Neurospora crassa OR74A: one gene and its partner. Each later gene encodes a partner of the first gene's protein in a complex. Links are inferred from orthologs where the notes say so. Each region holds a gene or a part of one and is shown in the gene's direction. Other genes may lie near its edges.

Region 1 (8,906 bases):
GGGTTCATCCGTCGCCGTTCGGGTGGGAGATGGAAAAGAGATTGTTGTCTTGACTCACATGGCGAACTTGTCGAGCGCCTGGGCTGAAGGGGGGGTGTGAGATAACGGACAGACTGCTCACATTCTCATGCACTTGCATACAGGCTGACAGCCGGCACTATACCCCATCGATTCAAATCACCTTTACTCCCACGCTGGGAATCCATGTAGTGGTTGTACGCAGTAGGTAGGTACATACACCGCATGCTCCATACTGCATGCATATACTGCATAGGTAGTAGATGCTGCTACGCCGTACGTCCCGTCATGCCTTCAACGCAACGTTGATAGGAGGACGGATTGCCAAGCTTGGTATCGACTCGAACCTGCCTCTACCTAGAAAGGCAGGAGAAATATCTGTACACTACGTGACTCACTCGGGGTGCAAGCCGCCCCGGATTTTAGCTTGGATTTAGTGTACTGTCCGAGATATGGAAAGGGCCCAGGGGCAAACTGGACGTGATATGCAGCCGTACTATGTGCACTAGGTACATGTATAATTGTTGCTGTCGGGACAAAAGACACCTCCACTGGTAAGCCTCAAACACCGGAAAATGCTACGACGCTTGATCTTGGATAGCCCGATCGGCTATGTACGTACCGCTGCGATACGCCATTCTGCAACGATGCGAACCTGACATCGTCATCCTGAATTTTGGCTTGGCGGATATCCGGCAACTCGCCTCTTTATTGACCAGGTTGTCCATAAAGTCGGCGTAATCGGCTTCTATGTGCAAGACTCTTTGAAACCGTGAAGATACGAAGTTGTCATTGCTGAACCTTCGTCAACACGTAATGACCGAGTTATTGACTAAAAGAGCTGTGCGACAGCGCCTGAGACGTTCTCGTGATCAAAGACTGTTGTGATATTCGTGTGTAAAGTTTCCTTTTCTTCTTCTTTTTTTTGGTCTTCTTTCACCCAAATTTCACATTTGCCTGAGCTTCGGACTTCTGGGTGTTCGCACACGACAACTGCCGCAACTATCGCCAATCTCTCGAATAGGCGCGAAAGACATTCAATGCGCCAAAAGTCTCCATGACCAACAACCTGAACTCAACAGACCCGTTCGGCATCGGTCGTGGCGTCCACACGAAAACCAATCAAATAATGCACGGCTCAGGGAGAAGTACAAAACCAATCCCGACGGCCCTTGTGAATTCCCACGCATTGGCTCTCAGCTGGACGAATTTCGGCACCAGCTTTGAGCTGGGCCAAGCTGCTAGGAGCATGATCTTGGAGAAATCTATTCGCAGTGGTGAGCCTCAACAAGCCGGGAAATTTGAATACCGCAGCACCTTGGGGAAGCCACCAAGTAAGACAGCATGCAAGACTGGTTTCGAAGTAAGACGACCATCCTGGAAGATAGCCTCTTCAACCAAACATATGAATGTCAAGGCCAAGTCAATGAGACTCGGAAAGTTGGGGATGTGCTTGTACACCAGCTCAAACATACTGACTCGAGCTGTGAAAGCATAAAGGCACCACAACGCTACGTCAGAGGAGGTGTGTGTAAGGGGCCGTAACTGGACAACCGAGCATCCTCCATAGCGTAAAGGCGGTAAAGTGGTAGGTCGATGACTTGACCTCTTCGCTTTGCCGGTAACTCTTCCAAAGTCTTCCCCTCACCATCGTCACCGTCTTGTCCATTGTCGTTGCTGGTGGGGGCTTTGTGGCTTTCTGTAAAGCACTAGCTTGGGTCGTTATGGTTGCACGGTCTTTTCCAAGTTGTTTCATTTAGTAATCCTTTGGTGGATTACCTAAGAGTGTTAGGAAAAAGTTGTTGGGATGTCGAGGAGAGAACGGGCGGTGCTGACTGATGGAAACGCAGAGTCACTAAAAGATTCGGGTGCAAATCTGGCCCAACTTTCGAACTCGAAACCACTGTCGTCCTCAACCCGAGAGTACAAGTGTAGTCCATCGGGGTGCTCATATTTGAACTCTCCACAACCAGGAGAATGGGGAACAGATGCGATTGTACCGGTGTCGCAAGTCGGTTGTCGCGCTGCCTTTGTCGATCTCAGGGCAAGCCTCCGAGAAGCGCTGCTGTCCATTGTCTGCCGTCTGCCGTCAAATGAAGCTCGATTCCAATACATATCCAGTTTAGAGAGAAGAAAGAGGGGGGGGTGCAGACGCGATAAGCCCAGTTCCACCAGTTGAAGAATCAACTGGAACCTGTAAGCGGATCTCTTGTTCTTTCCAGATTTGGGTCGTTCAGCTCATGGTTATCTTCACTTGGTTGGTTGGACTTTGGGAGGTCGAGATATGGTGTCACTTTGGGAGACAAGATCGACTGAACACCCAGCACTCTGGTCTCAATCCTTGGTGTGTTTATTCTGGAAATTTGGTCGGTGTATCATCCGCTCAGGTCTTGCCTCGCCTTCATGGCAGTGTCACGGTTCGGGATCAATGTCCCGGCGCCGGGAAGAGGCAATCTCCATTTGATTGGCTGGGTGTGAAGGGTGGCTGTCGACAGAAGTCTTGTGTATACCTCTAGGTAGAGTGGCTGCCGAGACTTGGTACTAGTTGAGGCATGCAGGAGCGAGGTAGGTGGAGGAGCGGGCAGAACACGGTTCCAGGTTTTTGTGGTTGGGAGTTGGTCATTTGTTCGATGACCGCCAGTGCACCTGGGCTCTTTCAGTTCCGTCCCGCAAAGTGAAAGGGATCGTGCAAGGTGGGCCTTGAACATCAAGGCGGGTTGCCAGCGCCAACTGTCGGGCAAGTGCAATGCAGCTGCTGCACTCAGATCACATGGAGGGAAGGTTCCCGTCCTTCTTCACCTCTTCTCTTGGGTTTGGAGGTAAGTAGGTGCAGTGGTAGGAGGTGGCAGGTCTCACGTTATTCAATTAAAGCACTCCTCAACAAGTTCAACCAGGTCTGCCTGGGATGCGAACAAGCAAGTTCTTTGCTGCTAGGTATTGTTGCTTCATCCGTCGTCACATGTATCGTGAATGGCATCAACTTCGGACAACTCAGTTACTGCCTGTCAACAGGAGAAGTACCTGAGTGCCAAGATCGACTACCTCGACTCGCCCGACACCTGAGTGGTATGTCCATGCTAGGTAGCAATTTACCTAGCTTCCTCCTTGCCCAGTCCCGTCCCGCCAGGGCGTACCTATCATTTCTTGCAACTGAGCGGCGCCGCCCTTCAAGGTTCCGGTCAACTGCGCGGACATCCAATCCAACCAATATCAACGCCCTGAGCTAGGTACCTAGCTCCGCACAGGCCTCGTGGAACAAGCCGACCTCAACGGGAGCTATTCCACCCACCCAAACCTCGAATTCTTTCTTGATGGTATTAAAGAACTTGCTTCACATATCCCGCCCGCATCCCCATGTCCTCTTGCGATTCCCTCCATCAAGATTACGACAATTGATTTCTCCGGCCACTTCAATTGACCAAAGCCCAATCGACTGTGCTCCCAGGCTCCTCACCATCGGAAAATCGAAGCCTTCTCATTGTTGTTCCCAGCCAGCCGCCTCATCTGCAGCTGCTAGACCTGTGCTGGATCTGCTATCCTCGAGCCCATAGCACAGCGCAGGGCACTTGCACGGCTGCCGCACTTCTCACGACAGGCAGTTCATCGCCGAGCCAACGGCGGGACGGAACCCCAGACCGATCAGAAACCCCAGACCTTCCCCAGAAAGTGGTGCCGTTGCCGATTGAAATAATTCCACTTGACCCGGCAACACTTGCGCCTTTCTCACCACCACTTTTCCGTCCTTCACCTCTCGTCAACCCACCCGTCTCGTGCTCCAACCGACTATATGCCACAATGAAAGCCACTCCGTTAATCATCAACTGGCACCACGAAAACAATCCGTACCCCATCTACTCTGCCCATTTCGAACCCGGAGGCAAGGGCCGCTTAGCTACCGCCGCCGGAGACAACAATGTTCGAGTAATGCAATCTACCCTGTCCCGCCCTTGCGTTCAGGTTTTTGGACCCATACTGATTGTTATGATTGCGACAGCTATGGAGAATAGAGGAGGATGGCGAGAATCGTAGGGTCGAGTACTTGGCAACCCTGTCCAAACATACACAAGCAGTCAACGTCGTTCGCTGGGCTCCCAAAGGTACGTTGTCCTTGCCCTCGTGGCATGCCACCAGCTCTCCGGATCCCTTGGCTCGCTTTTTCGCGTACTAACAAGGCCCCTTTCAGGTGAACTCCTTGCCTCTGCTGGAGATGACGGCAATGTCATCTTGTGGGTTCCATCAGACACTCACCACGCGACGTTCGGAAACGAAGGCCTCGAAGACAAGGAAACATGGAGGACAAAGCACATGTGCCGGTCCCTGGGCACGGAGATATATGATCTTGCCTGGTCCCCGGATGCTGCCTTTTTCATCATCGGCAGCATGGACAACGTTGCGCGCATCTATAACGCTTCGACGGGCACACTCGTGCGCCAGATTGCCGAACATAGCCACTACGTCCAGGGCGTTACATGGGATCCTCTGAACGAGTACATCGCGACACAATCTTCCGATCGATCGGTACATATCTACTCGCTGAGGACCAAGGATGGCCAGTATACCCTCGCCAACAACCACGACGACAAGCCACCAAAGATTGCCAGCCACGCCAAAACAGATCTTCCTCCTCGCAGGATATCCTCTCATAGCCCAGCTCCGCCCGAGTTCGGTAACCGGCCCGCTTTTACATCCCTGGATCCCAGTGCTGTTGCTGGATCCCCAAACCCTTCCATCCCGGGTACTCCCACTTCGATGGCCCTGCCTATGAACCCTCCCAGTGTCATCAGCCATAGCCGGAGATCGTCGTTCTCGTCCAGGCGATCAGTGTCGCCCGCACCGTCCATGCCTTTGCCTGCTGTTATGCCTATCGAGGCTTCTCCCAAACCGCACTCTTCAAGCTACGGCCTGGGCATGAAGAATGCGAGCCTTTATGCGAATGAGACTCTAACTTCATTTTTCCGGAGACTGACCTTCACACCTGACGGAAGTCTGCTCCTGACACCTGCTGGTCAATATCAGACTCAGCATCAGGTGGATGGCGGGAAACCTTTGTACGAGGTCATTAATACGGTATACATATACACGCGAGGTGGCATCAACAAACCACCCATTGCCCATTTACCCGGACACAAGAAGCCGTCTGTCGCCGTCAGATGTTCCCCAATCATCTACACCTTGAGACAATCACCGCCCGTCACCAAACACATCACCATTGATACTTCATCAGCCGAGGAGCCGATACCTTCACTGCCTGAACCATTAGCAAAGCCCTCAACAGCTCCGTCCGTGATGGAGCCACCACCTCCTCCATTGCCCACCGAAAGTTCGGTTTCAGGATCGACGGAGGCTCCAGTGCAGAGCCCTGGACCGAAGTCGGCGTTCGCGCTCCCGTATCGGATGGTCTACGCTGTAGCCACCCAAGACTCAGTGCTTCTGTACGATACCCAGCAACACACACCTATCTGCGTTGTGAGCAACTTGCACTGCGCCACTTTTACGGACCTTACCTGGTAAGTTATTCCCTTTGCTTCCTTGAGCCTTCGCAAACTAATATAAGTTGCAGGTCGACTGATGGTTTGACGCTGTTGATATCCTCGTCGGATGGGTTCTGTTCCACCCTGTCCTTTTTGCCTGGAGAGTTGGGTATACCGTATACTGGAGAAATTGGTCCACGACATTCACTGTCCTCTGGAGGAGCCACGTCGAACCAGAACACGTCTCTTCCCAATCCCTCGGGGGTGTTTGCCCCCCCATCCCCGTTTCACAACGGTACCAACCATCGCCATAGGGACTCTGCGAGCTCTTTTACGGCGCCTTCGCCACCTACAGCTGCTTCCTTCGTGAACCCGCCGCCCCCTTCACCGGCACGATCCAACTCGACTAGTTCTGCCATTACTCAAGCTTCTACATCACAGGGCGGGGTTATGAGCAACCCACCGCTTATTTCTGGCCAAGTGCCAAGCATCGCTGCCACCAATTCGGGCAAGGTTACGGGCTTGCCCGTTGTGACCCCTCCTGAGACGCCGCAGAGTTCGAGCGGTGGTGCTGGCTCCACTAACTTGAAGAGGGAGTCAAGCGATTCTCGCGAGGCAAATAACGCGGAGAATAGCCAGCAACCCAAACGGAGACGCATCGCGCCTACCTTGGTCAGCGGAGGGGCATCGTCTACGACTGACGGGTCCAGTAACAGCGACGTGGCTAAAGCGTAGGTCGCTAGGCGGTTGTTGTCGCAAGGATCTAGCACAACCCGCGGATACTTCACAAATAGATGTCTTTGACATGTGCTAAGACAGGTCGAATGGAAGATAGGAAAGCATGCAAGAGGAGGAGAACGGAAAAGGGTGATGTCTTGAGGGTTTGAGGTTTTGGTCCTATATCTTTGATGTTTCGCTGCCCAGTGTGGGAGAACTTGCCCCTTGGGCTCTTGGTTCTCTGCACAATCTTCTATATCGTGAAGGTAAGAGCGGCCAGGTCAATTTGTTATTGCATCTACAGTGGTGTTGGCAGGCATCATGCTGGCTGAAGAATACAGAACGTTTAAGTACGGAAGCTACAGTTTAATTGGTGGTTTGGATGCGCTTGGTGGTGGGTGCTATTCTGGGCAGACTGAGATGTCAGCTACTTTATGATATCTGAAGATTCGGCCATGCACAGATGAGCGGTATGGAGTCTTCTTACTCTTGTTATGCTAATAAACCCCGGAAGTTAGTTGACTGAGCTACGGCAGTGATACTATGCCCGGTATCGGTCTGCTTAGGTACAGGCTCGCCAACGCGGAGGTCTCGGCTTAGGACGGCTTAAGCACTCACCCACCGTCAGCTTTTGAGCAGACAAAACAATTGCATGATAATTGACGACAATAAAATACTTTTCGAGGTAAAAAGATTATCTGAATTCATTCATGTTACTTTATCATCTAAAGGTAAGTATCTGGAATCTTGACCGGTCTGATTTCTCCCTACGGTGAGTACTTCTGTGGTGCAACAATTCGGCAGGAGCTAGGAATTTGGGAGGGAAAAGATACGCCGGGTCCACGAGGGACAGCTTAAACACTTAGTTGGATGGTACCTAGGCACCTGTGACCAGTAACCAAACATACCACACGTGCGACCTCAAACGCGGGGAAGATTAACAGGAACAATGTCCGAAGGGCACTCTTTGTCCACGCTTAGCCAAAAACGCCGATAGGGAGATAAAGCTTAGTCCAATTGAAGAAGTGTAACTGCTTATCCTGGACGCTATCTGTTCTCGGATAGCTAGGTAGGGTAGGACCTCGGGTCCCCTTGCAGCTTCCCATTTCTCACCAAACCGCTTCAAGATACCCGCCATTGGCTTGGCCGTTATCACTTATACAAGAGCAGTCACCCCCGCGTGAGGGGGGTTGGTGTTGGGGCTTACTTTTGTCAACTTACCCTTCACTTCTGTTACATGTAACCCGAACTATCTACACCGGCCTCACATCGTCTTGCCTATTCGTTTTAGACGGCGTAATACCCTTCCAGTCTGAGTACCTTCATCCAATCTCCACCTCCCACAAATTAACCGGCGCGTCTTCAACTCAACATCGCCCCTAGGAGCTATCAACCGCGGCAACGCCGACAGCACCGATACATACAGACCACAATCCCTTGTTTTTGGATGTTTCAGCGAGCATCCTTTCGATATTGGGAAAAGCTCAGTGAGCAGTGAGCAAGCACACTGACACGATGAGTTTCCTTTCGGATTACCTCCGCCACAAGCGGGACTGGTCAGTAGTATCCATCATAATCATATTTATAGAAAGTCTGGCTCTTAGGGCTCTTTAGATTACCGGAATAAAAATGTGTAGTCCTTTTGCTAACCTCAGACTACTTCAAACAGTAATCTTAAACGAGCCGAGCGTAAAGAACGCATCTCCTCGCTCGGTCCGGAATACCATGCCGCCTTGTCTGGCAAAGACCTCGACACCATCAACAAGCCCATCGCCGAACTCGTGTCCGGGGTCCAGTCCAATGCCATATCGCCACTCTCCGTGCTCCAAACCTACGGCAAGGTTGCCATCAGAGCCCACCTCAAGACCAACTGCCTGACCGAGGTCCTCATCTCCGCCGCCGAGGACTCCCTCAAAAACTCCAAGAGAGTCAACCTCCAGGGTCCTCTGGCCGGAATCCCCGTCAGCCTGAAGGACACCATCATCGTAGGCGGCTTCGACACGACAGTCGGGTACTCCTCCTTCGTCGGGAACAAGGCCGACAACCCGCAGGACGGGCCGATGGTGCGCCTTCTCAAAGACGCCGGCGCCGTCCCTTATGTCAAGACCAACCTGCCCATCTCCCTGCTGAGTTACGAGAGCACCAACGACGTGTGGGGCCGCTGCACGAACCCTCACAACAAGGCATACTCGCCCGGCGGCTCGACGGGCGGCGAGTCGGCGCTCCTGGCTTGTGGCGGACGCATCGGCATCGGTAGTGATGTGGCGGGCAGCGTCAGGGTGCCGGCCCATTTCAGCGGGTGTTATTCCCTGAGGTGTGCGACGGGGCGCTGGCCCAAGGCGGGCATCCTGACCAGCATGCCCGGCCAGGAAGGCGTGCCTAGTGTTTACTCACCGATGGCGAGGACGCTGGATGATTTGAGCTATTTTACCAAGGCGGTGATTGGGATGAAGCCGTGGAAGTATGATCACTCTGTTCACCCGCTTGCGTGGAGGGACGAAGTGGTGGAGGAGTTTACGGATCAGGAGAGGAGGTTGAGGGTTGGCGTGTTGAGGACGGACAAAGTGGTTGATCCAAGTCCGGCATGCAAGCGGGCGCTGGAGACGGTGGAGGAGGCATTGAGGAGAGAAGGGCATGAGATTGTGGAGATGGAGGATGCGCCGGATATGTTTGAGGCGTTGCGGATGGGGGCGTTGTTAC
Region 2 (3,600 bases), on another chromosome or scaffold:
CCCTCAGCCTCCCCGTATTGTTCGCTGCCATCAGCCTCGCCATAGTCCTCTTGCTCCTCCCACGAGGCAGCGTTAATGTTTGTGGGGTCGTAGTCGTCGGACATGTTTTGTGAGTTCAAGTTGGAATCGAAGATGGAAGCGGTTTATCCTAGCTTTGGAAGAACGGTATTTCTCGTGGAAGTGAACGGGGTGTGGTCGAGGCGCGTCGATATCGCAGGGCGGCAAAGAGAACAGTCGGAATCAGGGCCGTGGAGACGGGTGACCTATGCTTGCATATTGCTGCTACGGTAGGTGCTGCGGCTGTAGCTAGCTGTATATGTAGCTATAGCTGTCGGGGTCCGTCACAGTCGCGGTCGCGCAGTTTGAGGGTCGATGGGGGGAGGAGAGGTCAAAGTCAAAAAGAGCTAGGTGATAACCAGTTGACTGGACACCAACAAAGAATCCACCCAGAGGGTGTGGAAAAAGAAAAAGAAGAAAAAAAGACTTGTTGATATTGCGCAAATACTATCGTATTCCAGAATCCGTCGGAGAGGATGGGCGAATATCGCAAGGTCCAGTTGGAGTCGGTGTGGATTTGTATTTTGTTGTGTGTGTTGTTGTTCGTTTCCTTGTCGTCGAATGGAAGATTGGATGCAAAAGAAAGGCCAAAGTTGGAAAGCGGACATCCAACGACAGAACTCACATTGCCCGAGCTTTGACAGTTCTGCTGCACTCACTGCTGCAGTCACTCACTGAAAGCAAAAGTCCGTCGCGACGCTAGAGCGCACTCCATGGAGTCCATGGAAGTTCAATGGACGACGCTGAGTGGTCGGATTCTTTCAAATTATGGGTTCTTCTGCTGCCTCTTTTTTCAAAGCTTCAGAGGATCCACTCCCGGGCCGTCCAACAGCAAACCATCCACATGAGGCTGAAAGTGGCTGGCAGCTTGGAATCATGTGGCTTCTTCGCTCCGTCGGGTTCTGGCCCGATGCCTGCCACACCAAGACGTTGGATTGCCGGCGGCAAGACTACTGTACTACTACGCCCTACAAGCGGGAAACGCGTTCCTGTTCGTCCACTTCTTTCAATTTACGCGACTCACACCACTGCACATGTCCCGCCTGTAGAGGTACTTATCAGGCACCAGCACAATGGACACAGAAGGAGCAGAACTGAAGACGGAAAGATACACCGTGAAACGAATTTCAAAGCCATCGGAACCGCTTCTGTGTTATAGTTTCGGTTGGTAAATATACCAAATGTATCAATACGTCTCAAGTGTAATGAAATAGGAACAGCTCTGCCCGCGTGTGCAATGTAATGTCCATGATAGGCGCCGTCCTGTCCCTCTTCCATTCAGTTTCGTTGCAGTCCAGTTCTTGTCCCACTCCAACTGGCCATTTCCCCTCGCAGTCCGCAATGCACAGTCCTGTCCCGTAGGTCTTGTCTTGTCCCCCTCCTTGCATAATTAAGCTGGCTGGACTTGACTTTGACAGACCACGCTCCACTTTCTTCTCCAATCTCCTCCTCCACCAAAACAAACACCACATCCACGCAAGACAAGCCAGCAACCAGCAAGTCTTGGCCCAAAGCATCTTCTTCCCTCCTTCTTCTTCTCTCCCTTGTCCAGGGAGTTGTCTATTCGTACTGCTGTATCATCACTTGGTACATTCCTTCTACCAACTATAAATACTTGCGCGACTAGATACCACCACCATCACCATCACCATCACCACTCCTTGAGTGCGACATCTTCACATCTTTGTCAGTTTGCCCACGCGGCAACATCACCACCGCCAAGATGTCTGTCGTCTCGCTTCTCGGGGTCAATGTCATGAACAACCCCGCCAAGTTCACCGACAAGTATCTCTTCGAAATCACCTTTGAATGCCTTGAGCATCTCGAGAAGGGTATGCTTCTCCTCCTCCTCCCTCTTCTCGCCCCTCATTCGCATTTCTTCGCGTCGTGATCTTGGCGCTAACCGTCGCGTATGCGTATCAGACCTCGAATGGAAGCTCACCTATGTCGGCTCGGCCACCTCGGATAACTACGACCAGGAACTCGACTCCCTCCTCGTCGGCCCCATTCCCGTTGGCGTCAACAAGTTTATTTTCGAGGCCGAGCCTCCTGACACAAAGCGCATCCCTATCGACGAGCTTCTGGGCGTCACGGTGATACTGTTGACGTGCGCCTACGACGGTCGCGAGTTTGTGCGCGTTGGGTACTATGTTAACAACGAGTACGAGAGCGAGGAGCTCATTAATGATCCGCCCCCAAAGCCCGTCATTGAGAAGATTCGCCGCAACGTCCTGGCCGAGAAGCCAAGAGTCACGCGATTTGCCATCAAGTGGTATGTGTCACCCTGATACGATGTTAAAGTTTTTGCATTGCCTCTGCCTGCGATGGCGCGACCCGACGGCGCGGAAGGACGCGGCAAGCCCCACTGGCCCTCCCTTCTGTCTTAGTTGCCCAGCAACACACTCTCCCTACTTACAACTGTCTCTCTCCCTTTACCCCATATTCATGCTAACACCATCAACCACAGGGACTCTGAAGCCTCCGCTCCTCCTGAATTCCCTCCCGAACAGCCTGAAGCCGACGAGGTCGCCGACGAAGAAGAGTATGGTGCCGATGAACTCGCCGAACAATCGAGCATCGCCGACCCCGCCGTCAACGGTGGCATGGAAGTTGAGGGCCAGCCAAATGGCGCCATCGTGATTGAGGAAGACGAGATGTCCGAAGACGGCAGCGTCGATCTTGAGAACGAATCCGAGGACGAGCTGGACGGTGAAGGCGACGCCGAGGGCGAGCTCGAGCAAGGACAGGATGAGGACATCGAGATGGGCGATGAGATGGAGATCGATGACCACCCAAAGCAGCAGGGCATGGCCATGGCTCAATAGAGTGAGACCATGGAAGAGGACGAGGAGACGTTGAATGTTAGCCCTCTGTGGGATTCGGAAATGGGGACTGCAGGAAATTACCACAAAAGGCGAGGTTCTTCGAGAAAGGATCATTGGTCTGTGATCATGGGGCCGTGAAGAGCGATGGATGGGATACCAAGAGCTTCAATATCCTGCGGTCGAGGCCAAGCTGTGCAGCTGATACAAGCAAGCGGATGGGAAACGGCTGGGTTCTCCCACTCTCACTGGATACTGTTTGTCTACATTCCAACCAAGGGGGCGGTGTGATTGAGAGGGTCATCAGCCGGATGAGATGGAGTCCCGGCGATTGTTGTCTTGTGCTTACCGCTCAGCTTCCCTCGTTTGGATGCGGGCAGTGAGTGGGTGGAGGCTGACGAGTTATGTCTCTTTGATTGCTTTCTGTGTGTTGCCGTGTCGATCCGTGTTATCTGTTGCTTTTGCGAAACATACATCGTTGCTGGCTGCATGGTGCTGGTGGCGTGTTATCATACCCTACTTTTAGAAAGCAAAGAACATGGAAGAAAGAGAGAATTGATTGGGATCAGTCCGTACCCTATATTGCTGTTCTCGCTGTAAAACTCATGTCTTGATTTCTCAATGTTCCAATGTCTTCAGGTTCGCCCCTTTCAGGCTCCGGTGCCTCCTCCATGGTGTCGCTAGCATAAGTTCTTCCAGGAAAAAATTATTACAAAAATAA

What was found.
Region 2: the proteins of cac-2 (region 1) and asf-1 are in contact, whole or in part, in a crystal structure (PDB 2Z3F), measured with the Schizosaccharomyces pombe proteins. The link is inferred for Neurospora crassa OR74A from reciprocal best matches to the Schizosaccharomyces pombe genes pcf2 and asf1. Residues at the interface, in NP_594450.1 of Schizosaccharomyces pombe: Lys503, Arg504, Ile505, Ala506, Pro507, Thr508, Pro509, Val510, Tyr511; in NP_588267.1 of Schizosaccharomyces pombe: Phe28, Asp37, Leu60, Leu61, Val62, Gly63, Pro64, Ile65, Pro66, Gly68, Ile69, Asn70, Lys71, Phe72, Val73.

What each region holds. Positions count from the first base shown.
Region 1 is NC_026501.1:5,640,954-5,649,859, forward strand, and holds cac-2 (chromatin assembly factor 1 protein), read left to right. Parts: upstream 1-3,267; 5' UTR 3,268-3,813; coding exon 3,814-3,939; intron 3,940-4,012; coding exon 4,013-4,115; intron 4,116-4,201; coding exon 4,202-5,525; intron 5,526-5,578; coding exon 5,579-6,224; 3' UTR 6,225-6,894; downstream 6,895-8,906. Other genes in the region: NCU16404 (hypothetical protein), read left to right, coding at 1,076-1,381, 1,519-1,545, 1,869-1,877; NCU08356 (acetamidase), read left to right, coding at 7,722-7,762, 7,876-8,906. UniProt on the Schizosaccharomyces pombe protein: Acts as a component of the histone chaperone complex chromatin assembly factor 1 (CAF-1), which assembles histone octamers onto DNA during replication and repair.
Region 2 is NC_026507.1:177,599-181,198, forward strand, and holds asf-1 (histone chaperone asf-1), read left to right. Parts: upstream 1-1,303; 5' UTR 1,304-1,780; coding exon 1,781-1,889; intron 1,890-1,980; coding exon 1,981-2,329; intron 2,330-2,524; coding exon 2,525-2,882; 3' UTR 2,883-3,576; downstream 3,577-3,600. Other genes in the region: NCU09435 (mRNA 3'-end-processing protein RNA-14), read right to left, coding at 1-104. UniProt on the Schizosaccharomyces pombe protein: Histone chaperone that facilitates histone deposition and histone exchange and removal during nucleosome assembly and disassembly.